4 linked regions of the Lonchura striata genome follow. The protein of the gene in region 4 purifies or fractionates together with the protein of the main gene of each other region. This does not show direct contact. Links are inferred from orthologs where the notes say so. Each region holds a gene or a part of one and is shown on either strand. Other genes may lie near its edges. The genes, in order: GIT2, ITGB1, ARHGEF7 and PXN.

Region 1 (7,143 bases), about 6.1 Mb from region 4:
CCCAGAGCCAAATTAAAGCAGGTGAGACAAAAAAATAATCCATTTGTTAAAGAACAAATTACAACAAGCACTTAGAACTCCTTGTTAAATCATTCCATTATTTAACAATTTTGATTTCCATGAAGAAAAAGAACAGCAATAGAGTGAGATGCATTCATGGCAACCTAATCACCCAAACTGAGGCAGCCTTCCAGATTAATGAGCCTGATTCCTTCTTGTTAGAGACAACCTCATCACACATGGATGGGATTCTTAGGGATCCTTTCCCTTGCCCATTCCCAGGCTGTTTGTGAGCATTGCTCTGCATTATCAACAGTCAGCACTGGGGGTTTTCTTTATCTCCACCTCAACACCAAACACCCTTGGATATTTCAGGTTTAAATTTAATGCAATGAAGTATCTGTCCTGGAATTTGAGTAATTTTTAAGAGAGACCTAATTATGGACTCGATCAGAATATGTTCAAGCAAGTACCAAAATACACAGGATCCCACAATCACTGAGGTTGAAAGAGACCCCTGAGTCCAACCTGTGACTGATCATCCCCTTGTCACCAGCCCAGAGCACTGAGTGCCATGTCCAGCTCTTCCTTGGACACCTCCAGGGATGGGGACTCCAAACCTCCCTGGGCAGCTCCTTCCAGTCCCTGACCACCCCTTCCATGAGGAAATTCCTCCTGGTGCCCAACCTGACCCTCCCCTGGCACAGTTTGATGCACTTTCTTCTCTCCTGTCCCTGTTCCCTGGGAGCAGAGCCTGCCCCTCACCCAGGCTGTCCCATCCTGTCAGGAGTTGTGCAGAGCCACAAGGTCCCTCCTGAGCCTCCTTTGCTCCAGGCTGAGCCCCTTTAGCTGCCCCTTCTCCATCTCCATTCCCTTTCCTGGACATGCTCCAGCTCCTCCATATCTGTCCTGGAGCGAGGGGCCCGGAGCTGGACAAAGCAATTGAGGGTCCTCAGTGTCCAGCTCAGGGGTGGTCACAGCCTGGCCCTGCTGCCCACGCTGGTTTTGATACAAAGGACAATTGGGGAGAAGCTGCAGGGCCGGGCAGGCGCTTTCAGGAACCTGCAGGGTGGTTCAAAACAGGAAGTTTGAGATGAAGACAAACCCGGCCCAGGGTCTGAGAACTGAGCTCCTGCCTCGGGATAGGAAGTGCAGCACAAGAGCTCCTGTAAGAGTCAAAGAAAACCCTCCACGCTCTGCCCTGGCAGAGACAAAGGGGCATTGATGAGGTTCCAGGGGAAGCAGTAATTAATGCAGGTGCCAGGCACACCCGCCCTGGTGCAAAGGCTGCAGCCACCAGGTCTCCTGACACAGCCCCACGCAGCCATGGACAAACCCTCTGGTTTTGCTAAAGGAAAGGGTTGATTTGTTTTATTTACCAAAAGATTAAATGAAGATTCCTTTATGTATGTAGATAAGCCACTGGATTCTAATAAATAAGTAAAGATTTCTTCATATATGTGGACAAGCCAGCGGGTTTCTAGTAAGTAAGTAAAGAGCTGGAAGTGCTCTAATGTCACGATAAAGGCTGGATTACAGGATTACCAGACAGTGATTCTGATGCCCCAAGGAGCTTAAGGAACACAGTTCACACAGCTTTATCTCCAACTCACAACACCCCTGATGTGAGCAAGCATAGATAGGCTACCTTGTGAGATAGGGACAATCACCTGCCTGAGAGATGCCAGCTGCATTTATTGTAAAACCAAATTTCTACAGGGGTACAAGCAGAATCCCAGACTGGTTTGGGTTGGAGGGAGCTTAAAGCTCACCCAGTGCCAATCCCTACCATGGGCAGGGACACCTTCCATTATCCCAACCCCATCCAACCTGGCCTTGGCCACTTCCAGGGATGGAGCAACTTCTCTGGGCAACCTGTGCCAGGGCCTCACTACCCTCACAGGGAAGACTTCCTTCTGTAAAAAGAAGAATGTCACTTCCTGGAAGTTCATTTGGAATTTTTATCATTTTTTAAAACATAACTCAGATTGAATAAAAGTTGTTCTCCCTTTTCCCACATCCTATCTTCTGCCAATTCAAGTGTTATCTACATTACACAGACATTGATATTACACATACAATAATAAGGTATTATTACATCAGTGTTTTAATTCATTTCACTATGTGCATAACCTGCCCAGAACACAAACAGCAAAAACTAAAGAGCCAGAAAAGACACAGACAGAGCTGACAAAATAAAGCAGGACAGTTTTAGATACAAGAGCTGCAGAACTACAGACGGTCAGGAGATGCAACAGCTTTTCTGAACACCACCTCCACTTCCATATGCTCCCAAACTGATCTGCAGCGGCATACGCGCCAGCCCAAGGCAGACCCTGCTCCCTGAGCATCTCCAGACACCTCAGCACAACTTTCCTTGGAAGTGTGGGCCGTGGGACAAATCCCAGTTTACCTCCCCAATGCCCCTGGGAACAGGGACAGGGGTGAAAACGCAGCCCCCCAAAAACAGCCCTGCTCCTTTCCAGTGACACATTCCCAACCCACGCCCTGCCCGTGACTGAAGGTGGATTCCTGTCAGCTTCCCTCCTTCCTAGGCTGGGGAGCTCCGCACTTCCCGCCGCCGGAGCCCTCCGGGATGCTCCCGGAGCTCCGCGTGCCCCGGGCTCGGGAGGGGCGGCGGTGCCGGACACCCGGACACGGAGTTCCATCCCAGCCCTGCAAGTGTCCCAGGCCAGGCTGGACGCTGTCGGAGCAGCCCGGGCTCCTGGAAGCCGCGCTGCCCACGGGCTTTGAGCTGCCTTCCCACCCAAACCATCCCGCTCCATCACAGGTGCAGCGCTCCGGGGCGGGGACGCCCCCGGGCCGGCGGCGCCCCCGCGGCCCCCGGTTCCAGAGGGGTCCGCGGGACGAGCCCGCGCGGTGCCGCTGGCGGTGCGGTGCCTACCCTGAGCGCTGCAGTCGGCGCAGACCTCGCTGCTCCTCAGGCGCTTCGCCATCGCGGGACCGGCGGCAGCGGCGGCAGCGGGGCCGGTAACGGGCCCCGCCAGCCCCGGGCCGGCCCCGCGCATGCGCGACGAGACCCCCTCTGCCGCTCCGCGTGTCGCCCGTGCCGCCATCTTTACTCCTGGCACGGGGGCCTGCCTTCAAACTGAGCTCCGGCTCAGCGGCGCGGCACCGAGCGCTCCCGCCCGGGCCCGCCTGCCCGCTGCGCCCTCTCGGCGGGGTTATGGGAGAGATGTGGCTTCGGAAGCCTGCTGGGAGAGGCCGCTGTGCAGCAAGCCCTGCCCTTACCCGCCATGGCGGGCGGGCGAGCCAAACCAAGGCCGGGCGAAGGCGGGGTGAGAGCGGTGAGCGCACCCCATGCGGGGAAGGCAATGGGACAGCTGCGGGCGGGACGTTCCATCCGTCCGCCCTCAGAGGGGGAGGGGGAGCGGCTTCCGCTTTCCGTGCGGTTGTCGGTGGCGGTAGGAGTGCGGGGCACCGCGAGGAAACCCCCCTGCTCCGGGCGCGCTGTGGTCGGTGCCAGCCGTCCCCGGAGGGACGGGGAAGAGGGGCCGGGACGGCTGAGGGGGAGCGGGGCGAGCCCGGGAGCGGCGCCGAGCGGACTCCGGGAGGAGACCCGGGGGCTGCCAGGGGCACCAGCAGCAGCAGGGGAGACCCCCGCGCTGGGGTTTTGCATGGGGCTCCCTTCGGAGAGGGCTGAACGGTTCCTGGGGGGTCGTGGCCCGCACACGCACACCTGGGCCAGGTGGGTGCCCGCAGAGACCAGAAGCTGAAGGGCTCAGGGCTTGAGTGACGTGGGAGCATCCAGAGAGGAGAGAGTGAGGGTCCCCCCCGGCTCGCAGGTGTGTGCTGGGATGAGCTCCCCCGGCGGGGCCGGCAGCGCCTTCCCCCTGCACGTCCTGGTGTGGAATAACGACTACCGGCGGCTGGACGAGGAGCTGCGGGACCAGGTACCGGGGCTCGGGGGCTGCTGGGGGGCTGCTGGCCCTGGCTCGCTGCTGTGCCAGGGAGGATCACCCTGGTGGCGCTGCTTGAGGGATCCCTGCACTCGGTTACCTGTTTATTTGTGGTGTGGGAGTGATGCGAGAAGGTGTGGGAATATATTTTTATGTCAGATACTAAACGTTGGCTTCCCATCTGTAAAGCTTTGCTCTGAGCGTTGCTCTTTAGGGGAGAGCTCAAGGAGGGCAGCTGTGATGGATATTAATTTATTTATTAAAGCAATAAATAGTGTTTGTCTTAATGGGAAGTCAACGTGCAGCAAAGGTAGCTGGTGCTACTGGACATCAAACCAAGCCCTCACTTTGCTGAGCACCATCAGTTCTTACAGGTTTGTCGCTGCCCAAGAATGAGGACAGAGTTTTTATATGGGTTGGAATGTTTTCAGCATCTCTGGTAAAAAAAAAAAAAAATAGAAATGGATCATTGTTTAGTGCTGGAGAGCAGCAAACACAAAGCTGTCCCCTCTCTGGGACATGATGACGTAAGGAAACAGCCTGAAAGCTGCAGCAGAGCTTGAGCAGCAAAAATCCTCCTGGCTGAGCTGCTGTGCAAAAGCTCTGACGGGCTAGAGCGAGGTACAGTTAATGAGCAGAGCTGATTAATTAATTATACCTGACACCACAAGTACGTGAGCCCAAGACCGGCTGTGCCACCTCCTGTCACCTGCAGCTCTAACGGTGCACCTGACTTACTAATTCCTGCTTAGAGCATGTTCCTGCCCTGGTTTGGGAGAATCTTTGGAATGCAGTCACTTTTTACCTCATTTATATCACCTTATGCCTTAACAAAATCTTTAACCTCACTGGCACGTTGCTCCTGTGTGTTTACTTCTGACATCTGTGAGAGTTTATGGTTAAATAGGGATCACTCAGCAGCTCCCACCTGTGGAATGCTGCTTCCTCCCTCCATTCCCTGTGGAAGCCAGCAGCGTGTGAAGATGGACTGTGTCTCTTCCTTTACCTGCTTTTAAACACCTTTTTTTTCTTTTTTTTTTTTTTTTTTTTAAGTATTCCAAAGATCTGGTTCCCCCTGCTGCTTTGGGATGAGCTTCCTGCTGCTGGAGGGACCTGTGAAGGAATCAAAGGCACTTCCCAGCTGTGGCTGGAGTGGCAAATGGGGTGGGGCATGTGGGGACCAGGGAACAGCAACAAACAGTGGGGAGGGACCCTTGGAGCTCTTTAGAGCTGCAGGAGGTGGAGAAACAAATTAATTAATGTTCCACCCCAGAAGTGAAGATGCTTTAAAGTGAAGCTTTCCCACTCTCTGTGAGATATTCTGACTTGAAGCTGTCAGATAACGCTGTTAACGTGCATAATAACCTTCCTTTCTCATTCTGCTATTGACTTTCCCCTTTTCCTTTAGTTATAGATGCTCTTCTGTTTCAAATCTCTAAGCTAATAGTGAAAAATGTGTAAGGTATGAGTATGTTGTGCTTGCATGTTTTGGATATTTGTGCCTGTGTAGTTTATTTTTTACTTTAGTGACTTGCAGAGAATGCCCTCACTCCTCATTGTGCTGTGTGTGTGCTTTGTGAAACACCATCTGCTTCTGTCCTTTCCAAAAGTGCTGTCCAAAAGCCGTGTTGTATGTCCTGTTGCCTTTTTTTTCCCCTTTCCCCCCCATTTTGTTGTACAGTTTAAACTCTCTGTGGGGTCTCAGGCTCTTGGCTGTCCGTGGGGTGATGCACACGGACAGAACTCCTCCTGAGCCTTCTGGGGGGAGCCAGAGGGGAAATAATGACAGAAAAAGCAATGAAAAGCATCAACAAGAACTCCTGTCCTACAGATTTTGTGTCATTTCATAGGCCCCGTTCTGCTTCTCCTTTTATTCACGTGGGGAAGCAAGGCAGCCCCGCAGAAGGGCGGTGCAGGAGAGTTTGGGAGTGGATCCATGGGAATGGCAGGGAATGCTGACTCCTGGATGAGCCCTGTGTTTGTGCAGGCTCTGATGAGCTCTGTTACTCTCTCTTGGACACTGACAGGATGTTGACCAGCGGGATCCACGGGGCAGGACCTTGCTGCACTTGGCTGTTTCCTTGGGTTACATCGAATCTGCCAAGGTCCTCCTGCAGCACAAGGCAGATGTGACCAAGGAGAACGCGCAGGGATGGACGGGTAAGGAACAACCTGGGGTGTCAGTCTTTCAGTAGCAGCTGTTCTGTGTTTTTATATGGAATTTTGGTCAGCAAGCAAAGTGACACGAGGCTGTGGCTGGCTTTCTTTCAGTTTTGCATGAGGCTGTCAGCACAGGGGATCCAGAGATGGTCCAGCTGATCCTGCAGCATCGGGACTACCAGCAGACCTCCATGACCCTCGGAGGAGTTCCCGAGTTACTGCAGAAGATTAACGAGGTAAGGATTTATTGAAGTGTAAACTCTCATTCTAGACTGAAATCTCTGCTTGAATACTCATTCAAGTAGTTCAGTTAACTATTGCAATCAGCTGGGTAATTGTGTTTTGTTCCAACCTGCATATTCCGTAGTCCTGAAGGACATGGAGGCTTTTCCTTGACTTTATTTAAATCCTTTGTCATGTACTCCAGCATTGGAGGCTGAATTTTGAAGGCACTGCTGCCTCTCCAGTAAAACAAGGAAGAACAGCTCCCCAGAAAGCAGCAGGGGCAGGGCAGTGCCTGTTGTGTTTGCAACTTTCAATTTCAGTTTTAGCATTGGCTAATCATTTCTCCAGTTTTGCTCTCTTTTTTTTTTTTTCCTTTATCTAAAATGTTCACAGGAAATGCTGCACTGACTGTCAAACTATTTCATGAAGTACTCATCAGGTGTTTTCCTTCTGCAGACTCCTGACTTTTATGTGGAAATGAAATGGGAGTTCACTAGCTGGGGTAAGGATCCTGCTCCTTGTTACCAATTTCAAGCTGTAAAAATGAGTTAGAAATGTCCCACAGTGCAGGCAGGGAGATATCCGCTCCCTGCAATCTTCCTCTTCTCCATCTCAAAATGACCTCTTGTGCTTTTGTTGCACAATTATTCTTTGTTTCCTGTGTGTCTGGTTGGTTGGGTTTTGGTAGTGGAGAATTTAGCTGTTGTTGCTGTTGCCTGGAGACTTTTCTTGGGTTTTTTTTTACCTGTCCCTGGCCATCCACAACTGATCGTGTGTCATCTATGGATTCACTGGTTGTTTGAGGAAGTACCTGCTTTTCCCTGAAAGGAATGAACAT
Region 2 (7,908 bases), on a different chromosome or scaffold from region 4:
GTATTAGAAAAGAATATTCTGTCTTTTTTGCCATTGTTTTCTACTAGAACAGCCAACCACCTCATACAATAGTCATTCCATTTGTCCAAATCTCTTTTCCCAGTGGTACCATTACTATTTATTTACTTCAGACTATTTTTGTGGTTTTTTCTTGCCTACTAGTCTTGCTTAAAATGTTCTGCTCTCCACATAGCTCCTCTTTCCCCTATATATCAATGAACATTAAATCTGTCCTTATTCCTTCTCTCATGACAGACTCTCAGTACTAGCAGACTGCTACCATCTCCAAATATTTCTGCAGCTGAGACCAAAATCCTCCTTTCTCATTTCTATCCTTCTACTCCTCTGTAAAAGTCTAAATTTCAGTAATTTTTATGCACTAACAACTACTGCATTGAGCTTAAAATGTTGCAGAATGTCCCTCTGGGCAAAATTGAAGCTGAAGAATTCTTCAAGGAAAGCTCTTGCAATCGTCCTTGCTCATTTCTTTGGGGGCAGTGGAATTCATTTTTCCCCTGAATGAGCATGAGCTGCTTGTCTAAACAGTGGGAATCCTCTGAGAAGGAGGGAACAGAATATGCAGGCACGTGATCTCAGAGTCTCACAGAATAAAAGCAGCACATGGCAAGAATTAATAACTGCTGAATCTCAGAAACTTACTGTGCATTCAGAATTACCATCCTTTGGGGATATTTTTAATCTCCCAAAGGCATTTTTCCTTGGGTAATTAAACACTAAAATATCTTCAAGCCTGAAGTTTTAAGATCTAGTTCTCTAGAAAACACTATTCATTTCAAGCAACAAAAGGAGCTGGTGCAGAAGTTCTCTGCCCTGTGTTATCATGAGTATGAGTGCTTGAACATAAATCTCAAAGACTTTAGTCTCTTCACTTAACTCCTGCTCACTTCTTTACTTTGGAACATAGGAGCAACTTGTAGTTCATGCCCAAGGAGGAAAAAGGATTCCTGCCTTGCTTATTGAGGATCAAAATATCTTATAGAATTTCTGCATAAAACAGACCCTCTTCACAATGACATAGGAGTCCCACAAAAGTGCCTTGGAAGATTTAAGTCCATGTGGCAAATGAGAAGGAATGTGTATGCTAATGGCAGCAGGGATTTTAACAGCAACAGCTCAGCCTACCCAAACATACACACAAGAGGGAAGAGCAGCTCTTCAGCTGAAGGAAGTGCAGAAAATGAGTCAGAGGAAGCATCAGAAGGCACAGTGCAGCTGTAACAAAAGCTGTCCCCCAGTCCCTCTGCTCCAGCAGCCTGCTCTGTGCCAGCAAGGGCAGAGTCCCACCAGAAGGGCCATGGTGACCTCCCCTTTCTTCTTTCCTGACAGCCACAAGTTGCTTTTTAAATGCTGGTGAGCTGAAGGAAGGGCTTGGTGGACTCTGACCTTTTCAGGCTCATGTTAAACACAGGACTGTCGATTGAACAAAGCAGAGATCTAAGCACTGATCATAAACCAGGTGTTAATATATCAGCTCTATTGCACCTAAGTGCTGCACATTGCTCCCATGAACAGCAGGCAGACAATCCTTCAAAGCAAACCTTTGCCCACAGGATACAATCTCTGGCAATCTCCTGGCTGAACATTTGTGACTCACTTCACTCCTTGTGTGGAGCAGGAGAACATGGCTCCAGTGTAAACACAGCATTCCATACCATGGGCACACTGTACAGGTCTGACAGGCTGCCTGCAGAGAAGTGCTGCTCATTCCTCATGAGGAGCCAAATAGTGGCTGTTATCTAAAGCAATGACACAACCGTTTAGCACCATCACTTCCTGTACTAAGTGACCCTTCTAATAATACTTTCTCTATGAATCTTGTGTCCAAGCCCTAACACCTCCTCATCCTCCACACTGGAAGCCAGAGCCCAGTGCTGACCAGTTGCCAGTGAGGTCTCAGTGCTCACTGTGCCCCTTGGTGACTGCACAGCTGCTTCTGGAATAAAACAGCGGCTGAAGCTGCTGCTGCTCTGCTCCAAGGTCAGGCCAGGAAAACTGGGTGCTCCCGCAGCCAGCTCAGCCCAGGTGGCTGCAGTCTGATGTGTTCCCAGGAGACCTGCTTTCTTTTGCTGGCTTCATTGCTATCCTTGGGAAAATGACTTTGACTTCCTCTTTTCTCTCCCACCCTTTATCTATCTAGTAGGGTAGAAGCATTTTGAAGAGGCAGGGAAGGAAAAGAAGAGGGGTGGAAAGGGAAAGTACTCTGCTGTCAGTAACAAAGTTTGTTGGGGAAGTGGAGCAGTACAGATAAATTATCGCTCCCTGGGGCAGAGGTGAGCGAGATACCTAGCACACTATAAAGAAGTAAAGATAGAAGTTTTAGTGGCTGGTGAGATTACAAAGTTGCCTAATGGGTGCCCTGATGAGAGGCATTTGCATTTGGGTATTAATGCGCAAACCATGCACATTAAAACACATCCTGTGTTTCTTATCACTGAGGCCCCAGTTGAAAAATATCTCCCTCTAAACCCTTTGCAAGGTGCAGGAGTGAAGAAGATGCTGGAGAACAGGCTGACAGCTCCCTGGCTGTGTGGGCTTTAGTAAGTCAGAGTTCAGCAGCTTGGCAGCAACATGTGGCAAACGGGAAACTGCAGCCAAGGAAATACCCTGATAACTGGTTAGGAGATGCTGCAATTTCTCCTACCAACCAGTTCCTGCTTCTCTGGAGGCAGTGGCTCCTGAGGTACCCAAGTGGCCCCCTCACTCCAGAGGTTCCCAGCCAGGCACTGGGAGGGATTGCAATAGAGCTGCCTGGCACAGGGATATTCAGCTCCAGCCCTGGAGCTGCAGCTGGGCACCCCCAATTTACACAGCTGGCTTCTTTACAAAAGCAGCACTGGACACATCAAAACCTGGTTTGGGATTTGTGTTTGTGTAAAAGTTATAAAATCTGTATCTGCAAGATAAGAATTAACCAAACACTTCCCAGCTTCCCACTCAGTCCATGAAAACCCATCTTTTCTTGAGCCCTCCTGTGCAAAACTGCTCACTCTCCCAGATGTCATGTACACTGCAGTACAGAAACACTACATTAAACATTTTGACATCACCTATAATTGTGTCTACTGGCTCAGATACCTCCAGCTCTTTTTTTTTTTCTTTTTTCTGGCATCTTTAGTACTTCACAAGTGTTGGAAAATAACTCATGATTTTCATACCCATCTGTGCTCTCCAAAGGAGACCAGAAAGCAGCCAAATAATTCAGTGGATTTTTTTTCAGCCATTTTGTGAGACTTTTTCCTGTTGATTTCCTATTGCACAGCACAGCCAGCCACTGGCTACTTGACACAATAAGATCTGAGCAGAGCATTGGGTAGCATTTGAACCAGTCTGTTGAGCAGTTTTATTTAGTCTTCAGAGCCAAATTGATCTCAGTAGCACATCTTTCCACCACTTCTTTGAAGTACAGTATAGTGGACAGCTGCTCACTATTTGCATATTTTGGCAAAATCACAGAATATTCTGAGTTAGAAGAAACCCACAAGGATCATCGAGTCCATCTTTTAAGTGAATGGCCCATACAAGGATCAAAATCCACAACCTTGTCATAATTAGCACCAGATGTGCTTTTTCTCTCTGCAATAAAGAAGCAGAGAAGAATACCTTGCATAAAACTAATTTTTATCGCCCAGTACTCAAGTTTCCCACATTTTTTTGCAGACCACTATCCCTCCGGCATTTGCTTTTACTTTGCATTAATTTTTACAATTTTTAAAACTTTGGCTTTCTGATGGCTTTCATTTTTCCTGGCACTATTAATATTACATATTAATTTACCTGTTGAAACATATAGTTCCTGCTGTCCTTATCTCTGAGTGTCAAAGTTGTTTAACTACCATTTCATTTATCCAGTGCTTGCTTTTGATGGGGCTGCTTGGAGCAGTAGTCTGTCATTTCAGTCTCATTTTCCAACACCACTAGAACTGTTTTGCAATTACAGCTGTACCAGCACTAAAAGCTTCTGCTAAAACAGCTGTTAGGAGACTGCGCCCTAAACCACTGCACTGCCCAAGTGGAACACGGGGTTGAATCACAGGCCACACTTGAGTAAACTAGAAACATCATTCCTTTCTTATTCCAAAATGCAGCTAGAAAGCAAGCAGGGGAAAAGTGATTAAAATTATAAACAAGTCGCAGCACTGCTGGTTAAGTTAACCATACAAAACCAAGAACTGACTCAAGCTCCAGTAGCCACACATAAAGACAGTGCTTAGAGCTCTGAGCTGTGAGTTGATAGCTTGTTTCCCAACACTTTACCTTCAATAAGGTGTCGAAAGGCACGCTTTTTCATTTTCTTTTTTTTAATCGGTAATTTCCCAAGTACTTATTTTAAGGGGCACTTTAAAATACCAAGAGCATGCTCCTAACACCAGCAGGCTCCGGCCGAGGTATTCGGGGAAAGCGACTTTTTAGCTCGGAGCGAGTGTAGCACCGGACAAACGCACTCATCACTCAGTGACTTCCACTGCTCTTGGCAGCAGCTGCCAGCAAGAGGGGCAGGGATCCCCTCGGCTGTGACCGCGCGTGGAACCAGGCAGGGAGCGGAGCAGGGGAAGAGCTCTGGAAAAGGGCTGGGGTCGAACAGCCTTTCCGCACCGCCGGGAGCGAGCGGGCCGCGGGGCAGCCCCGGCCCGTCCCCGCCCACCGGCCCAGCCCGGGGCCGGCCGAGCCGCCGGCAAACCCCGCCAAATAAGGCGCTGGCGGGCGGCACGGATGGAAGCGGGAGGGAAGCGGGCACCGAGCCCCGCCTCAGGCACGGCTCTCCCGTCCCTGCCGCCGCGCCGCAGACGCCTCCCCGGCCCGCTTGACGGCAGCGGGGAGGAATGTGTTTCCGGGGCGGGCAGCGCGGAGCGCGGACCTCCCCTCCCCTCCCCCGCGGGCCGGGCTCCCGCAGCAGCTCCGAGCAGGCGGCGGCGGGCAGCCAGCGAGGAGCGAGCCCGGGCGTCCCGCCGCGCCCAGCCCTGCCCAGCCCAGCCCCGGACGCCGCCGCAGCGAGCCGGGCGGGCCGGAGCGCGCCCGCTGCCCGGAGCCATGGCCGAGGTAACGGGAGGACGGGCGGGGGTCGCAGCCGGCCGGGAGCGAGATGAGCGGTGCCTGCGGCCGCCCCGGGGCTCGGCGCTTCGGGCGGGCTCCGGGCGGCTGCGGGCGCCGCTTCCCGCGCCGGGAGCCGCCGCCGCCCCGTGTGCGGTGCCTCGGCGCCGGCCCGGGCGGAGGAGGGGGCGCCGCCTCCCGCCGTGCCCGCCCGGCGCTGTGGGCGGGAAGGTGCCGGGCCCAGCCTGCGGCTTCCTGTGGCGGCGGGACGGCGGCCGCGGGCCTCCCGTGCCGCCGGGGCCGGCCGGGCCTTTGTCCGCCCGGGGCCGGCCCTGCCCCGGCGGCGGGGCGGCAGCGCTCTACCCCGGGCGGCGCCGGAGCCCCGTGCCTGTGCCGTGCCCCGTGCCGGCCGCCGCCTCCCGCCGGCGGTGCCCGGGACGGGGGCAGCGCTCGGCTGGGAAAGTTTCGGGCGGCTTCCCGGGAGTCGGGCGAGGGCGGGCGTCCGCAGGGGGAAGGTGCCTCCCGCGGGAAGCGGGCGCCGGAGTTACGGGAATGGGAACGAAAGGAGTGAGGCAGTGCGGGAACTCGAGTACCCGGGGGATTGTCCCGCACATACCTGCAGAAAGCGAGCGCTGAGAGCGGCGTGTGCGCGGTTTGAATGACGGGATGGTCGCAGTGCAGCCTTTGGCTGCTCGAGCCGTCCAGCTGGCTCTGAGCCTCTGTAGCCTGCTATAAACTCGTGTCGGGATGGAGTGGGAATGTGAGGCCTCTATGCCATGTCCCACATGGGGATTTCTGAAAAATCTTACAGCAGTAGTGCAATGCTTTGTCTCCTATTATTGCCTTCAGTTACTGGTTGTTGGAAGGAAACGTGGAGCAATGAGAAATTCATTCTGACTCACAGGCCCATGTCAGATGTGTTTATGTTATGGAATAAGTATCTGTCTGCCTGTTAAACTCATTAGGTAGCTTTTTGTGACTGTTTATGAAAAGAAGTTGATGAGCGTTCATGTTTGCGTCTTCATTTGTCCTTGATAGAATACAACAGTCCATTCATGCCAGCACATGTGCACATAGCTGTTGGGTGAAAATGTTGATTTTTCTGGTAGATTTGCCATCACTGCTACAGTTCTATTCTTGCCAAGATACACAAACCTTTAGGAGTAACGATTGTCTCCATTTAGATTAGTAGAACCACTCACAGTCAATGCTCCTTGTGTGCTGAGGTGTTGATATTAAGCAGGACGTTATGTATGTGGAAACAGATTTAAATAACTTGTACTCCTGGCACACAGATCATTTGGTAGGTGATGGTGGCAGTGTGAGAAAAGTTTTGAGAAATGAGGCAGCTTGGTAGCAGTGAGGGGATTTTGTTGTTCTTGGTTGTTTGTATGGGCCTTTTTAAAGTAGTATTATACTACTAAAAAGATGTAAATTAGACTAAATTAAACAAGACTAAGAGTAGCAAAGACATTCATTGTCCACATCCGTCCCAGCGATGAAACCAATGATTCATTCTCTGTCACAAAAAAATATTACTTGCCTCTGGGTAATGATTAAGTAGCATTTTGCAAGCTCACCTAAGGCTCTATTTATAAGGATTGCAAAAACAGTGAGCCATTGGCAATAGATTGGCAAGACAAGACAAGTTTAAGATGTGAACACCTTCAACTTTTGTCCTTTTCAGAGATGTTTCAGCTGAAAGGTTAAAAGCTGACAGGCATGCATAATCTTACCTTAACCAAAGTTGGAGCTGCGAAGTGCTGTATCTGTTTGCCAGCCACATGATAAATGAACCATATTTATTTAAAAATGAAATGTCAGCAGTTACAACTCCGCTGTTCTCTGTGGGTGCAGCCAGGGAGCTCATTCTGTTCTCTCTGTTCAGTTGTCTGATCTGTACCATGTCCCCAGTAATGCCCACCCTTGTAAAGGACTGATTTGGAGGGATGCTTGTTGCTCTAAGAATGTGCATGAATTTTTGATGGGAGTGCAGAATTTTAGTGTTTTGTCTTGAGTATTTTAAATGACTCAAGCGGTTAGCCTTACACCGCTTCCTTTGGGAAGTGATTCCCAAAGCTGAAAAAAAACTGTCTGAGAACTTTTCCTGCTGTTCTTTCTTCCTGATTCATGATTTCATTCCTCTCTCTAAACCATCCTCTCTCTACCTCTCATTGGGTAGTTCTGCTGTAGTTCAGATATGAAAAAAGCTTGTTTGCTGTAGCAGCAGCTCAGGAAGTAGATAACTGGGGTAGCAGAAAGGCGAACTTGGGGAGAGCCGTGCACACATGGGGTGGGCACATGCTGTGGTCTCCCTTGCCCTGAATATAATTCCCTTGCTGCTGCTGGTATGAGTGCCCGTCAGTTGTTTGTAAATAGTTGTCATGCCTGCCTTTCCACCCAGTCTCGATTTAGCTGAGTGATGTGATGCACACTTAGCCAGCTTCTCATCAGTCTGCTGCAGGCTTCGTGCTTGGCTGTGGCTCTTGGTACTGAGACAGGGTACTGCAGCTGTGATTGCTCAGCAGGCTGTTAAGTACTTTGTCTTGATGGGACCCTTTTGGTAAGTAAAGGCTCTAGTTCTGCATGAGGCTCCCTTTCCTTCTAGTGGACAGCCTTGCAGAGTCCCTGTTGCTCCTCTCTTGCACATGGTCCGAGGCCTGAGTGTCTTTAGTGTGGACCTGCTCATGATGCAGGTGCAGCCTTTGCTTGTGTCCCTGTCACTGCTGCACAGGAGGTGGATGTGTGACTGTGCTACTTTCTCTGGTAGTTCTCCTCACGTGGTGTGGAGAGTGGATATGTGGAGGAAGGCTGGATGGAGCTTGCTGGCCACTGGTATACCTGATCTTTCTCTTCCTC
Region 3 (7,628 bases), on a different chromosome or scaffold from region 4:
TTTTCGGGGCAAATAAGGAATAAAAAGGCTCATATTTCAAATGCACTTAGTATTAAAAAAGTAACAAAGAGTAGTAGCCAAAAAGACTTGGAAAAACTACCATGGCACAATAAAGGATGTAAAATTTATGTCTGTTTACTAACAAACAAAGAAAGAGAATAAAGTAACACGGAAACAGCTCAGACATAACATAGATGAGAACGTGAAAGAGGTATGGGGTGTAAATTCTGAGTCTACAGAAAAAGAATATTTACAAAGTTAGGTGGAAAAATGAGTTTGTGAGTCTCTCAGACATATCTATGAATTAGAAAGTGCTTTGTGAATGGTCCAGGGAAATAAGAACAGTTACCCTTACAAAACCAAAGATCCTCCTAAAATAATTTTTTAAAATGTCTATTTCTCCCCAGACTTATAACTAAGTCAGAGCCAGAGGAAACACACAGGGGCAGCAGGGACGCCGGGGCGGCCGCCTGTCCCAGCGCCCTGCTCGGCGCGGGGCGAGCTCGGGGAGGTGGGAGGCTGCGAGGCGCCAGCCTTCCTCCCGCCTGGCTGCCAGCCCAGCCCGCACTGCTCCCGCTGCGAGCCCCGCGCTGCTGCAGCGCCAGGGCCACCGCGAGTCCCGCCGGCAGCTCCTCGCACCCAGGCTGCTCTCGTTGTTGGCTGTGCGGAGCTGCGCGCCTCTGTAAACCTTCCTCTGTGCTGTGAAGGGACCCCCACCCAAACATGAGAGGTGTTTGGTCCTCAGATAAAAAGAGAGTCTCTCATTCAATAACCGAGCTGTCCCAAACTATACTGTAACAGAGAAACACATTAAGTTGGGAAACACTCTTGTAACACTTATTTCTGTTCTGCTTTTTTGTTTATTGGTAGAGCCTCTTTCCCAGATTGAGTGCAGGACCCCACTTTACCAGGCTTGACATCTGCACAAAGGGGAAAGACCTTTTCTGCCCTAAAGCTAAGAACCCAAAGTCCAAGATGTGCTCAGGAAGCGTGCCTGGAGCAGCAGTGTGGGAAAGGCTCCCAAAACCCTCCTTGGGCTTGGTGCCACCAGGCAAAAGAGTCTGGGGACAAGGAGGCATGGGCGGAGCCTGTCAGAATCAGTGGATAGTCAGGTGGAGGAGCCCCCACTTACCCCAAGCCCCATGTCACGCGTGCCACCCTGGATTGCAGAACAGGACATTTACTGAATGGCAGAGCAGGACATTTACCTGCTCTGGAGCCCTACTTTGCAGCCCAGTGCACTGGACAACAGTTTGCACCTCATGTACCACCTCCACAAAGCTGCAGCCCCTTTAGGAGCAGGGGCATCCTCTTCAGCTCTACTGCCTGAACAGCCACTTACGGGGAAATGGTGGCGGGGAAAGCTGACAGCAGCAGTGGCAGGGGCTTCAGCTGTCCCAGCTAGTCCCCACTGGCCACCATGGTGATCCTTGAGTTAGCCACGCTCACACAGCCACCAACACACTGTGCCCGCTCTCATCACTTCCATCACCCGCCAAGAGCACTGCGGGCTCCTGTGAGGAGTCCACATCCCCGTACCACCTCCTGATGTACCTGTGAATCTGGGAGGCAGGAATGATCTACTAAATCCGCAGAATGGGACTCCAGTCCAGAGCCAAGACCTTCATGTACAACACAAAACAATAACAACTCCAGTGGGTGGCAAACTGAAGAACCGAAGTGGGACAGCCCAGCCCAGTGTCCTGCTAAGCTCAAGGCGCTGGTTACAACTTTGTGGGTCTGAGAACTACTCGAAATAGAGCCACAAAAGGTAACAAAAGCTCACTGTCAGCAGGCTCCAGCGAGTGGAATGCTCTGCCAACTGTTCTGCAAAAGGTGAAAAATACGGTGTTATTTTCAAGCAAGGAGTCATCCCATCATCATAGCAGATGACCTTCATCAATCTTCACTACCTTAGACTGGCACACGAGGAAAGATTTTTGTCAATATGTGGATCTCTGTGTGCACTATGTTACTAAACATCAGGTGAGACAACAGTACTGTCCCAAGTTTTGAGGCACAACCAAACCCCTTTGGTTGTCTTTTCCCTCTGGCTGAGCGACGACGGGAATTATGTACGCACACAGAACACATAGAAGTTACCTGACAGAGTACATTTTCTTCAAACAAAACACAAACTAGAGCTGTAACGCGTTTTTTCAGCACAAAAAAAAAAAAAAAAAAAAAAAAAAAAAAAAGGAGATTTTTTTTCCACAGGCTACCGAACAGTAAAGGACCCAAATAACGCTTAAGCAGCCTTCAAGAAAACTAAGCATCAAACGCTAAAATGTCCTTCAGAGGCTGGAAGGGATGAGCTGAATCACCTCCCAAGCGAGGTGAGGCACCGGCTGCTCCAGCAGTTGCGTAGATAAGTTTGCAGCCGGCTCGTGGCACGCAGGGCAGGGTCCATAGTCCACCCTCCAAAATTAATGCATCTCCCATGCACAGCCGGGACTCCGCTTTGGGAAGCGGAGCGTCCGTACAACACTTGCAGAACAGTGGCTCCTCACGGGGGTTCCCCTCCAGCCCGGCTGCCGCTCCCCGCTCTCCCCCGCCGGGGACCGGCCCCGCTCCGCCCCCCGCGCCCCCCACCGCCCTCCCCGGGCCCGGGGTCCCCCTCCGGAGCGGGGGGCGGCGCGGGCGGGGCCGGGGGCGGCGGGCCCGGCCGCACAAAGGGCGGCGGGGCGGGGGCCGCCGGGCACTTACTTTGTCTATGGTGCCCGGGAGCAGGCGGTCGAGCAGGCGGCACAGCACCACGCCATCCTTCAGGGAGGACTGAAGGAAGCCCTCGGGGTCGGAGATGGTCTTTTTGGGCGACTCCAGCACGCCCAGGGCGATCAGCCACGTAACGGTCTGCTCCGCCGAATTCATGGCGATGGCGGCGGCGGGCGGGGGTCGCGGCGCCCCGCGCCTCGCGTGGGTTTTGTGTGTCCCCCGGCGGGGGCTTCAGGCGGAGGCCGGCGGCGCCGCCCCCATGTGAATGCAGATGACGACGCCCCGGCCCCGCCGCTACAGACACATGCAGCTGCAGTGCCGCCTCCTCCCCGCCCCCCCGCCGCCGCCGCCGCCGCCGCCGCCGCCCCATGACATCACTGGCAGCGGCGGCGGCGGGGCCGCGCGCCCGCGGAGCCCCGCGCACCGCTCCGCGCCCGCTGCGCGCGCCGAGCGGCGGCCGGCGCGCGCCCCCTAGCGGGCGGGCGGCGCCTCCGCGGGCGCGCAGCGAGGCGGGAGCGGGAGCCGCCGGGCACCGCCGGCCGCGGGGAAAAGTTGCGGGATCCCCCGGCCCCTCATCTCCTCCTCGGACGGCGCCGTCGCGCAGAGAACGAACCCCCTCAAGCCTTCGGCGCCAGGCTCCGGGAGACTGGTTTCGGACCATCTCCCTCTGGGAGCGCCGGCAGCGGGCGCCGGCCCGACCGGCCGCAGTAACGCGATCTCTGCCTTTGCCCGTCGTTCCCTTGCAAGGAAACCCGTTTGCAGCCTCGGGCCAGCGGCCGGGTCGCGGGCTCGCCCCGGTGCGCGCCATCCCCGCCGTGCGCCTGCTGGGATGCTCCATCCCCGAGCGCCTCCCGCCAGCTTCCCCCCCGATGGTCTGCGGCACCGCCTGGGAAGCCAGCGTAAATACTCTACACAGAAGGACTGTGAAGACTAACCTGAAACAGAGCCCTCCTGTGCCTTTTATTCTGACAAAAGCCGTTCCTCAAGGATTTGCTTGGACGGGACACTATGAGCAATCAGTATTTTCTTTTTTGTTAGGAGCTGGCTGCTGTGGGCTCCCAGGGTCCCTCTGTTGCCATCAGCCTCGCACACGCCAGGAGAGGCGATACCACCACAGCCCCTGCTTTCCCTTCTCGCCCCATCTGACGCCCTTGAGGGGCAAAATGCCTACTCCAAAAGGCAAAGGCAGAGGCAACAATGCCAACCCAAACTCATCGCTGCTGTTCTGCTTCCAGCCTGGCGTACTGCATCCACCACCATCACAGTCCCTGAGCAGCAGCTCTGGTAGGTTCTTTTGACCCAGAATCTCCTACCAAATCACCAGCCAGCCCAGAAAGACAGAGGTGCATTTCAATTTGGTACAAGATAATCTAATTTCAACACTCAATCTCCTCCTAACCCATAATAGGTGCAGATTTTCTTAAATTCTTAAATTTCACATTTCAGGTAGATACCTCTTCCAAAATTTGTTTTTTGTTTTGCCCCTTGCTTTTTGGTCGAGGTGAGAGCAGCAGACTTGCCTCTGTCAGTATTAATGCCCACCCGGATTCAAGCAGGATGGGATAAACAAGTACAATGCACACAGCAATGGTCAGGTGCTCATTACATCAGCATCCCCAGCAGGGGTACCCCAGTAGCTTCCCGAGCAAGATGAGCAGCAAGTGGGGACCTCCCTGGCACTGGCCCATGATAGAAAACTATGGGCATGAGTTTATGAAACTTTTTATATGAGAGATGTGATGGGTACATGAACGAGGTGAAAAGTGCATGGCTGATTATAGCAGAGAACATGATACAAGACATGTTGTGGGAAAACCCATCCAAAGACAATGGAAATAACCATATATTACAACACAGAATAGTGATCTTAGCAAAGCATAAAGGGTTTCATGATAAGCAATATCTGGGTTATCACTGACATTCATCACCTATCTCCTCATCATTCTTCTGCACTTAACTGTACTGTCTTCCATATCTATTTTGAACAACAGCTTCTGATCCAATGATTTGTCAGCTATGAAGAACACAAACATGGCAGTTCTTTGCCATTGGAAAGCCATGTGGATAGATTGCTTGGAGACTTCTAAAAGAAGCTTGACACAGGTCAGGAAACCATTTCAAGATCTTTAAAGGAAAAAAATTAAAGTGCCCAAAAGATTTAGGAGCATGCCACTCCCTGCCTATATTCCTTTCTTGTCAGACTTTCCCCTACCAGGTATTTACTGCAAAGCACCTGAACTCTCTGCACAGCTCCCTTGTTTTATTCTTTCCTCCTGCATGTCCCAGTACTGTCCATTTGTACTAAAACCTTGTAGGACACACAGATATTTTGCATGTGCTGTCTAGCGAGTGGAGCCCATGCCATGGTGGGAGTTTTGAAGTAACACAAACAATGATACATACACTTATTGTAAGTCTGCACTCCTTCTTCCTCTTTGTTTCACAATTAAAGATGTTCTGATTCTCTTATGACCTGATTCTGATCCCACTGTTGCTTCTAAATCATAAACTCATGACATCTTTATTCAAACATCCATTTTGATAGTATTTAAATAGTATAAATTCTTTCTGAAAGATGGGATAGATTTTAACAACTTTCTTTTAGGGGATGAGGGATGATTTAAACTACTTTTTTTCCTGCAAAATATTTTAAATTTATGCAAAGCTGAAAAAGTAATTTTGGTACTGACTTTTATAAACAAGGGATATATATATATATGAAGCTTGTAGGTTCAGGTAACTTCCAGACCTTAAATCTGTTTACACAAGCAAAAAGATTCTGATATTTGGGGAATTTGGTGGGGGAGGAGGGGAAGGGGGAGGTGTCTCAGTTTAATACTGTCTGGACCTCTTTTGAACAAGAAAAAAATCATTGTTCTCTGAAATGCATCAGGCAGCTTTAGCAGAGATCTAGTAGATGTAACAGCACATAATTTTGTATACATAAAGATTAAGTGGTTGACAATTTATTTGGTCTTTTCCCAGCTTTTGCCATATTCTCATGAGAAGTTACTAAGGAAACCAGGTAAGCATGTGGTAGAAAGTAAATTTCTGTCACGGATTAGTGACTGGTTGAAAGACAAAACAGCAGGAATAAATTGCCAGTTTGCAATTTGACCAAAAAGTTATCAGCAGAGATACTTTCTCTGTTCTGCAGTATGACTTAACTGAAAGTCTCCAAAAGACAATTATACTTATGTGGCTTTTATTTATTCTTTTAGCCTGAGCAATTGGTTTGGGAGGATGAAGAACAGGAGAGGAAGGAAAAAACAGGTAAAGAAAGCTACTCTTTCATTTTAGCCTTCCATTTGCCATTTTCCATTTTCAGCTGTTAATACCTTGTCTCCCTGTCCCTGGGCAGCAGTGAGATGCTTCGACACAAGTCTCTGTTTTCCCTGTGCCAAGCCAAGGTCAGGATTTCAATGTGGAGGTAACTAATTAATTATCGGTCCGGCTTGAACAGAAATTGCCTTGACAATCTGTAATTAGCTATATAGGGGTCATACTGGATCAATTGCTGTGCTGGGGTTCCCATGCTATACGTAATTATCTCTGTAGTTTTAGCCTAGGGAGGTTTACATCTCTCTGCAGTGAAAGCCTTACCCCAACAAAGCACACTTCTGTGTTAAACTCAGAGATATATTTCCATGCTATTTAAACCTACATTTGAAAATAATCTTGAGGCTCGTAGAGGAGCTAGTCTTTTGCAGTTCCTGAAACCAGCTATCACAAGTTCAATACCACCAGCTCTCTCTGCTGTTGATTGACTACCTGTCAGCTGAAGGTGTCAGTTAAAACCCATACACCAAAGATTGTGTTGGTGAATTTGGGAAGGCAGATCAATGAGCTGTGTGGTGCTGGTAAAAGTCTCAATAAATAAATAAAAAAAATACCAAAACACAACAGAGGGCAAATTATTTCATTATCTTCCAAGTTGTGAAGTATTTTAATAGACAGATTAAAAGCTTTTCTGTCCTGAGAGGTCTGTCAATCAAGCATAAATAAATGAGTACCATACAGAGAGCAGCTAAAGTGCTGATGCAGAAACACAAATCCAGGACTCTGAGAGCAGGTGTTTGACCAAGGGTGACAGCAGCATGATGCTCGGGACTGCAGTACTTGGCTCCAGGGCAGCACCATGAGTGCCCAGGCAGGCTTGGGCCTCTCAAACAGGGATCACAGAATGCAGTGCGATGGATTCACCAGCGTCCATGCCATCCCCAAAAACAACAAAAACAAACAAACAAACAAATAAACAAAGCCAAAGAAAAAAGGTGCTTTTAAACAACTTTCTTACATGGAGGCTGCAGGCACCTGTTACAGAATTTGAGGGAAAACAGGGATGCTTAGCACCATGAGAGCTTTTAGCTGGGCGAGAGATGCCCCAGAGATCAAGTCCCTCATTTATTTCCCCTGATCACAGATCTCAAATCTCTCAAGGATCTAGTGCACTTGCTCTACTGCCTCCTGTGCAACTGCCCTTAGGGCCTACCCAAAAGCAGAAATGCTGTCACCATGTCTTTACTTTAAACCAATGCAGCCTATTGACACTATGCTCTGATTGAGCTCAGAGTCCAGTCTGCTGCCAAGTCTTTGGCTATCTTAATCCTAGCAGTCAAATTTTTTTGTTAGCATTTCTTTGATGAGGCAATCCTGTGTTACAAGCTTTATCACAGTCACTCATGCTTTTGTAGCTTTTACCCTGGCTATGATCTTTAGGTAGAAATATACAGAGAGTCCTCTGGCAAGTCTGCAGTAGCCCAAAATGTAGCTCTGCTTCTGCACTCCCGAGAGCATCAATTCAAGAGCTGCCTTTGTCTTCTAAGTGTAGCTCAGGATAATGGCATTGATCTGCTACATTCTTTATACTTTCAGAAACCAGTAAGTGTCTCTGCTTTTGGCAGAGATGAATA
Region 4 (7,265 bases):
GCAAATTTAAAGTTTCTCTTCTCCTACTCCTGTCACCATAAATACATAACAGTTTACACAAATTAGGTTTCTTCCTCTGCAACAAGCAAATCCTAATGGATCTGTTCCTTCATACTACTTAGACAAGGTAGCACCACCAAACCAGTAACCCAACATCTCAGTGCCTCAGCTTGTCTGAAGCAAGTATGTGTGGATGATCACTTGTGTGCTGGAAGCACAGGCTGTGCTTTGGCAATCCCCTGAAAGGGACAAGAGCCCCAAATCTGGGTTCTCACTCTTTAGGACAAAGCTGTGCCAATTTACAGCACTGCAGGACAGCAAATTCATTCAGCAAACTTCCTGTCAAACTCCAAGCACATCCGCAAAATGTGCTTCCTCAGAGAGGCTGCAGGGAGACGATCTGGACAAGCCTGGCCAGCTGCTCTCCTCCCCCTTCCCACCACGGGCTGTTCTAGTTTACATCCAGCCCAGCACTGTGTGTCCTGTGCCACAGAGGCTCCTCCAGAACAACAGGGTGCACAGCTCCAGCCTGCAGAAAGTTTCCTGTGGGAGCTTCTTCAACACTGGGGGAGGGGGTAAAAAGGGAACAAAGATTTTTCTCAACTCCAAATGAATCCTCAAAGCAAGACAAATCCATTTTCATATGTTTCATAAACTCTCCAGTCCAAGAACAAAACTGAGATACTTCTGGACCTCCATTTTACATTGGACATGTACAGACTGATCAAATCCTCCAGCTCTAGGAAAAAGAAGGAGATTTTTGACAACAGCAAGGAGTTAAGAACAGACACACCAATGGTCTCTGTTAGGGGTTCACTCATGCCCAGCAAGGCCCTTCACTCACTGCTCATTTCTGTGCCACACAGATTCAGAAGCGAGGTATGGAAGTATCTGAGCTGATTTAACTTGACATCAACTCTGCACCTACAAGTCCCAGTTCAATATCAAACTCCTTTTGGGCCAAAACTGTCCCTGGAAGCAGAGCAGCTTTGCCCACATGGCAGTGTGCCTGAACCAACAAGTCCTGCCTAACCAGCTTGACTCTGGACAGGGCCAGTGCAGACGTCTGTATCCATGGCACAGTTAATCCACAACTCAGATAATCCACCCATAGATAATGAGGAAAGAAAAACAAACAACTCTCACTTGAGTTCGAAAGTCTGACTTATTTCAGGGGAGTTGTATCAGCACAGCACAGTTCCATTATGTGTGATCCCAAGGTGAATGACTTTAGAGCAGTAAGTGAGCCATTTTGGGGCTAACAATGATTTGCAGAGGAAAAACAGCTGGTGTGCTTTTCCATGGTGAATTCTGTACACCACAGAAAAGCTTAGAGAGAGAAAAGGTCACACTTTTTTGTTCAGCTGCCTACTGTTAATTAGATCTTGTCCAGTCTGAAAGGCTGCACAAAAATTGAGACAGACGCAGTGTAATTAAGACTTGATGAAATCAAGTTGCTCAGATTAGAAGGTCTAACTTTTGGTTGTCCAAATACTCTTCAGAGCTCAGAAAAACAAACCAGGCACAATTTCAGATCTTTTTCACAATTTCTTAGCAGTTCACCTCTAATTCTCCTACAGATGAAAGAAAAAATGTTAAGGGACTGCAGCAGCCTATTCCAACAGCTGGAAAGTCACACTACCACGTTTAGGAATGCAGCTCTTGCAGTGGGCACAGTGAGGCTCCCATGGTTTACTGATGGTGAGACACTAAACTGGCTCTACACTGACCTGTATGCTCACCTTGAAGGGCTACCCATCAAGTCAATACACAGACTGGGTGAATCCTGTTCTGACTAGCAATGCATTCCTGAACATGCTAGGAACTCGCACCAAATCTCCAAGAGATAACCAGAATGAGGGATATGAGAAAAGGTAAACAGAGCTGTCTCCACTTGAACAATAACCATGAAAAGAAGCTGCAGTAGAAATTACTTCTGTTCCCACCAAGAGCTACTTCACTCAAGCAGAAGGTCTCACTCCCCAAGGATGAATCCTCCATGGGCACACCTTTCACCAGAAAGCCACGCAGCAGATGGACTCCTTACCCTCTAAGTTTTATCATTAGCCCAATTCAAAGTCTATTTTCTGAAGGTGTGACCACCAGCTTTATGCCATCACCGTAGTATGAGCTTCCAGGTCCAGAAATAAACCTGCAATTTTCTTGGGACTATATGTCAACAGAACGTCTGGTTTCTATTAAAGGTAGGATGGAAGTAACGGATCACAGCCCCTCCCCAGTGTCTGATTTAATCGGTTTCATAAGCGGAACTCAGTCGTCCTAATGCCTCCCAGAGCACAAGGGATTTTGGCAGATCCACACCCTTTCCGGCTTGGTCCCAAAGGACTCAAATTCTCTAGATCCTTCCCTTGAGACCAGTTGCCTGACATTTCTCCATTACATGGTTTCGGGAAACCGTATAATGCAGCACACCTGGGAGAAGCAGAGGGAGGACGAGGATGAGCTCCAAGCGCGGCTGGGCTCCGCTTATCCCCGCAGGGCTCCCCACTCCATACCCGCGCAAAGTTCAGATCTCGCCCAAGAACAGGCTGGAGAGGCTGCGGCGGGGCAGGGAGGAGATGTTTGCTGAAACCCGAGTACGCCCCACGCTGCTCCGGGCACAGGAGCGCCGGGCGCCCTTCCCGGCCGGGACAGCCACCGCCTGCCCTGGCTGCGGCGGCCCCGGGACAGCCCAGCCGCGGGGCCCGGGCGCGGGGAGCCGGGCCGGCCGGCGCGCTGCGCGGGGAGCGACACGTCCCCGGACGCCGACAGGCGCGGCCCGAGCCCCGCGGCGCCGAGGGGCGCAGCGTGGCCGGCGGGCCGCGGCCGCCGCCGCCCGGGGCGCGGCGGGGAGGCGGCCCCCGCCGCGGGGGAGCCCGCGCGGCTCGGAACTCACCCAAGTCGTCCATGGTGCCGTCGTGCCCGGTGCCGCCGCTGCCGCCGCGCCGGAGCCGCTCCCGCCCCGCGGTGCCGCCGCCGCCTCAGAGCCCGCAACTTTCCCGGCCCGCCCCCGCGCGCGCCCGCCCGCGCGCCCCCGCTGCGCGCGCTGCGCGCCGCCCCCTGCCGGCCGCCGCGGGAGCCGCCGGCCCGGGCGCGGAGCGGGCGCGGGGTCGGGGCCCCGCGAAGCGCCGGGCGGGGCGGCAGCGCCCGGAGCCGCCGCCCGGCGTGTGCCCCGGAGAGGCCTGCCCCGGAGAGGCCTGCCCCGCTCGCCGGCGGCCCCACGCGCGTCCGAGACTGAGCGCGAACGCCACACGAGCCCCGCGCTGCTCCCTGCAGGAGCAGGACCTTCCCCAGAGGAATGTCCCGGGGCAGCGATGCAGCCGCGCTGGGCTGGCTGGGTGGTGCGGGAGAGTTGTGCCCCAAAACCTTCAAACATTTCAGAGCCTCAGCTGAATTACCCCATCCCAGGGAAGCTGGGCAGCAGAAACCTTTCCTGAGCAATTTTCCATACGCTGTGGCCACCATAAAGGAAAGTCACCAGCTACTTCTCTTTTGCTGTGTTCAAAGACTATAAGAGCCCTCCTGGATTTCTCATGTGGTGACCTTGAACCATCATTTCCCACGTGTTTTTCCTTTCAAGCCTCTATAAAACAACTCCAAGGCAGCAAAGTCCTCGCTTTGTCTGAGCCACAGCACAGCTCAACCCTCACCAGAGCTACTGTTTCCCACAGTGCTCCAGCCAAGTTGACATGGCAGTAAATGCAGTTGCTCAGCCCAAATGTCCACTTCTTAATCTGATGAGAGATACACCAAAAAATATCAGTGTGGGAACTGCCGAGGATCCAGGAAACATGACTCTTGTAGCTCTTTTCCTTACAAAATTACTACCGAGTCAGAGAATGTTCCCAGAACTGAACAGCACATGTCCTGTTGTTGAGCTGAGATTACAGAATTGTATTTCCATTAAACAGAGACCGTGAGGTCAGCTGTGAGCAATCTCCAGTGCTGCATTTTTCACTCTCTAGGTACAAACATGCCCAGTTTCCCCTGCTAGCACAAGTCAGACATCATTATTTCCTGTGTTAAGTCATGCTTTAATGGGAATTATCGTTAGGGGGGCAGGGAAATATCTCCTCCCTCATCCCAGCCAATGCTTATGAATAGTCAAAAACCTCCAAGAAATTAATTCCAGCTTTTACTCCAAATACAGTTGTCAGAAAATAATGTCCTTACTGAGATCTAAGTACAACACAAATGTAAGTAAAGATTTCATTGCATGCTTCACTATCCATGCCAAAGATTTCACCTGACATCCCCCTTGCTGGTCTCCCTCAGCAAAATGTAAAACATTATTTGGAGGGACTGTTAAAATTTTCTCAAAATCCATCACTGGCTATACAATGACAACATCAGGATGTGCATCCCCAGGTGGAGCAACATGAACCACTAGCGCTGACTGGTCACAGAGCAGATGTAAAGTCATTAGAAACGAGTCCTTTCCTGGGGTCTGTATGTTTCCTCCACCAACATGTGACAAGCATGTGCCACAAGTTGGGTTGTATTTTTACCTCTGCATAAATAAAGTGCCTACTGTGCTCTGTTCATATTGTAGCCTGGTATGCCATTTTTATTTTCAGCTTCCTACTGTGTCCTTTGGGAGTCTGAAAGTGAATGTAAATCAAGAAAGCAGTTTCTATTGTGTCTCAGGGCTGGAATTAAGTTGTCACAGAACCAGTTAGGGTTGCTCCCACAAGAAATGGTTGTGTCTAAGATGGTCAGTGTTAAAAAAAAAAAAAAAAAAAAAAAAAAAGTAATTGTTTCTAAAGCTTTGCCTATGGCTTCTGCACTGCACTGAAAGTGTTGGTGGGGTGGGAAGGCAGGGCTGTCCCATGAGTGATACTATCCTCTAGACAGCCTGCTTTTAAAAGCAAGCTGCTCACAGCCAGGTGCTGTTTATAACTGAATTATTCACACATTGATATTTCTTACTTAAAATTGCCAGTCCCTAACCCTCCCATGAGAGCTGGGGGAGCAGGGGCAGGTTAAAACCCCAGCTGCCAAGGCGACTTGTCAGTGTTGTGGGCTCAAGCTCTGTCCTTCCCAAAGCCTTGAACTCCTGTTTCCCCATCATCTACCTGTTCTTTGGCTCAGACTCTCCCTGACTCACGGACACCTGCTTGCTACTAGAAATACACAGGCCTTCTTCTTATGCTGTGCCCCGTAGCTGAGACATTTTGATCTACCCTTGTCTTTCACATAAGGTGTAACAAGAAGTTACCACCCCCATTTGCAGATGGGAAACAGGGCTGGGAACTGGAAATGAAGTTAGACAGTGAGTTAACATCAACAAAATGTTGAACTTTAGGGCTTCCTGTCTCCACACAATCCATGTTCAGAGTATTCCTAACTCCACACAATCTGTGTCCAGAGTACTTGCTCAAGGCATCTTTCCCTCTTGTTGAAGAGTCATTTACCAGTTACAGACCAAGTCCCTCAAAGGGCAGCTTAACCCACTGACCACACACAAGACCCTCAGAGTTGATGGATTAACTGTCCTCCTGGGCCCTGTCATTTCAGACTGGCTGCCAAACAGGAGTGATCCAAGCTCATTTCATAATACCAGCGAAGAAAAGCATTGTTATTTTCAATCTGTGTCAGAGAAGAGAAATAAAGCTACACTGGCCTGTGAGGCATGTTTAGAACTTACCTGTGCACTTTCCAGAGAGTGGCTTGAAACTGCAGAGCAATGACAGTGCCTTCATTGCAGTGTGTGCCCTCTGTGCTGTGCCACATGAACATCATGCAAGGGGATTTTGCTCTTTCTTCAGGTGAATGCAAGGAAAAAATTTTCAATCAGAGCTTTGGGCTTCAGGCAATAGCAGTAAATCACAGCATGCAACTCCCACATTCGAGGTTCAACTTCATGTTTGTTGAAAGGATCTGCTACAGCAAAATGAACAAGCTTGGTTTCTGGCATAAGATGTAGGACGTGACTTTGCAATGCAGATTGAAAGCACCACACCAAGGCATTACCACAGACAATTCTGGCAGCAAAGATGAGAAACAATCAAGTGATAAATCCAATACTTATCAATACAGTTCATAAGAATCAAGAAATTACCTGAAGTGTATGACTCACTGCAAACTACATATGCCTTTGCTATTTACCAGTGTGGCTTATTCTGCCAAAGGGTAATGGCATCCCTGTGCTTCAGAGTTTGATTTCAATTGATATTTCTGGCAATAGGAACAAATGGGGGGGACAAAGGCAATCTGTGAGGTTTCACTGTCACTCTTGGTCACTGTTGTGTATAATACCCCAGCATGACTGAATGTTATTTTAAAAAATAATAGTAATTCTTAAGAGACTGATGTTCACTACTAAGCTTTCTGTTCTACCGAAGTTTCAAGCAGCTGCCCAGCTCAAGGTCTAACCGGCAGGGTAGGAGCATCGGGATGGCACACGTGGATCTGGTTCTGTGCCCATACAGAGAATGTCAGAGGCAAGCTGTCAGCACCAGGAGGTACATCTCACTCACACAGAGTGACGGAGAGCAGCTGCTCCCAGCTGCAGCGGAGCCTCAGCGGGGCCAGTGTGCAGTGGTCATTAGTCTCCCTCCGTAGGGTCTGCCTAGCTATTCAATTGCTGCAAATTAGGAAAGGATGCAGTTTACTTATATAATAGGAGTTGACACCAGCAGCTGCTTTTTCCAGAGCAAAGGTTTGTGATTTTTTTGACAATAAGGAGCATTTTTCTATTGCATTTTTTTTTCTTAAAGCAAGTGATGTCAATAAAGAACTGCACACAAAATGGAGTTTACAGTACTTAGTACACTAAGTGTTCTCTAATGGGTTTTAGAGGACTCCTGCAGTTGGGGAAGCACGATTCAGACTTTCACTCCCCCTAGATTCCTCTCTGCCTGTTGAGAGGCTAATCTCCTAAGGATTCTCCTCAGCAAGAGCTACTCCAGAAATCTTTCTACAACACCTAAGCCACTCCACTTCCGTTTTCACTGACCGATTCCTTTTTCAGTAACTGAGAAAAAAAGAAAGGAGCTTTCAACGTAGGAGCGCCCTCATTTTATTAAACCGCGGTCTTAGCGGCAGCAAGCCCTGGCAGCGCTGAAAGAAGAGAAGCCGTATTACCTTCCGTGAGAGCCCCCTCCCGCCGCCAGGTAAAGACCACGCAGCACAATACAATCACCGGAGCTAGTCTTAGTCTATTTTTCACCAGAGTATTCAGTCTCCGTAGAGACTGTCAAAAATTGCCAATGCCGACTATATTTCAAGTCGTCATGGCGGGGTATTGGGAAAAGTTTTCAATT

The links.
Region 1: the proteins of PXN (region 4) and GIT2 purify together in Homo sapiens (co-immunoprecipitation; 3 studies listed by BioGRID and IntAct, with this or other methods). This does not show direct contact. The link is inferred for Lonchura striata from reciprocal best matches to the Homo sapiens genes PXN and GIT2.
Region 2: the proteins of PXN (region 4) and ITGB1 purify together in Homo sapiens (affinity purification with western blotting; 3 studies listed by BioGRID and IntAct, with this or other methods). This does not show direct contact. The link is inferred for Lonchura striata from reciprocal best matches to the Homo sapiens genes PXN and ITGB1.
Region 3: the proteins of PXN (region 4) and ARHGEF7 purify together in Homo sapiens (affinity purification with mass spectrometry; 3 studies listed by BioGRID and IntAct, with this or other methods). This does not show direct contact. The link is inferred for Lonchura striata from reciprocal best matches to the Homo sapiens genes PXN and ARHGEF7.

The regions. Positions count from the first base shown.
Region 1 is NC_134620.1:11,019,792-11,026,934, reverse strand, and holds the start of GIT2 (ARF GTPase-activating protein GIT2), read right to left. Parts: upstream 3,017-7,143; 5' UTR 2,958-3,016; coding exon 2,906-2,957; intron 1-2,905. Other genes in the region: ANKRD13A (ankyrin repeat domain-containing protein 13A), read left to right, coding at 3,819-3,914, 5,948-6,080, 6,192-6,316, 6,762-6,807. UniProt on the Homo sapiens protein: GTPase-activating protein for ADP ribosylation factor family members, including ARF1.
Region 2 is NC_134603.1:142,822,776-142,830,683, reverse strand, and holds the start of ITGB1 (integrin beta-1), read left to right. Parts: upstream 1-4,899; 5' UTR 4,900-5,049; coding exon 5,050-5,058; intron 5,059-7,908.
Region 3 is NC_134604.1:92,628,969-92,636,596, forward strand, and holds the start of ARHGEF7 (rho guanine nucleotide exchange factor 7), read right to left. Parts: upstream 3,006-7,628; 5' UTR 2,872-3,005; coding exon 2,707-2,871; intron 1-2,706. UniProt on the Homo sapiens protein: Acts as a RAC1 guanine nucleotide exchange factor (GEF) and can induce membrane ruffling. Functions in cell migration, attachment and cell spreading. Promotes targeting of RAC1 to focal adhesions. May function as a positive regulator of apoptosis.
Region 4 is NC_134620.1:4,910,887-4,918,151, reverse strand, and holds the start of PXN (paxillin), read right to left. Parts: upstream 3,008-7,265; 5' UTR 2,910-3,007; coding exon 2,897-2,909; intron 1-2,896. UniProt on the Homo sapiens protein: Cytoskeletal protein involved in actin-membrane attachment at sites of cell adhesion to the extracellular matrix (focal adhesion). Recruits other proteins such as TRIM15 to focal adhesion.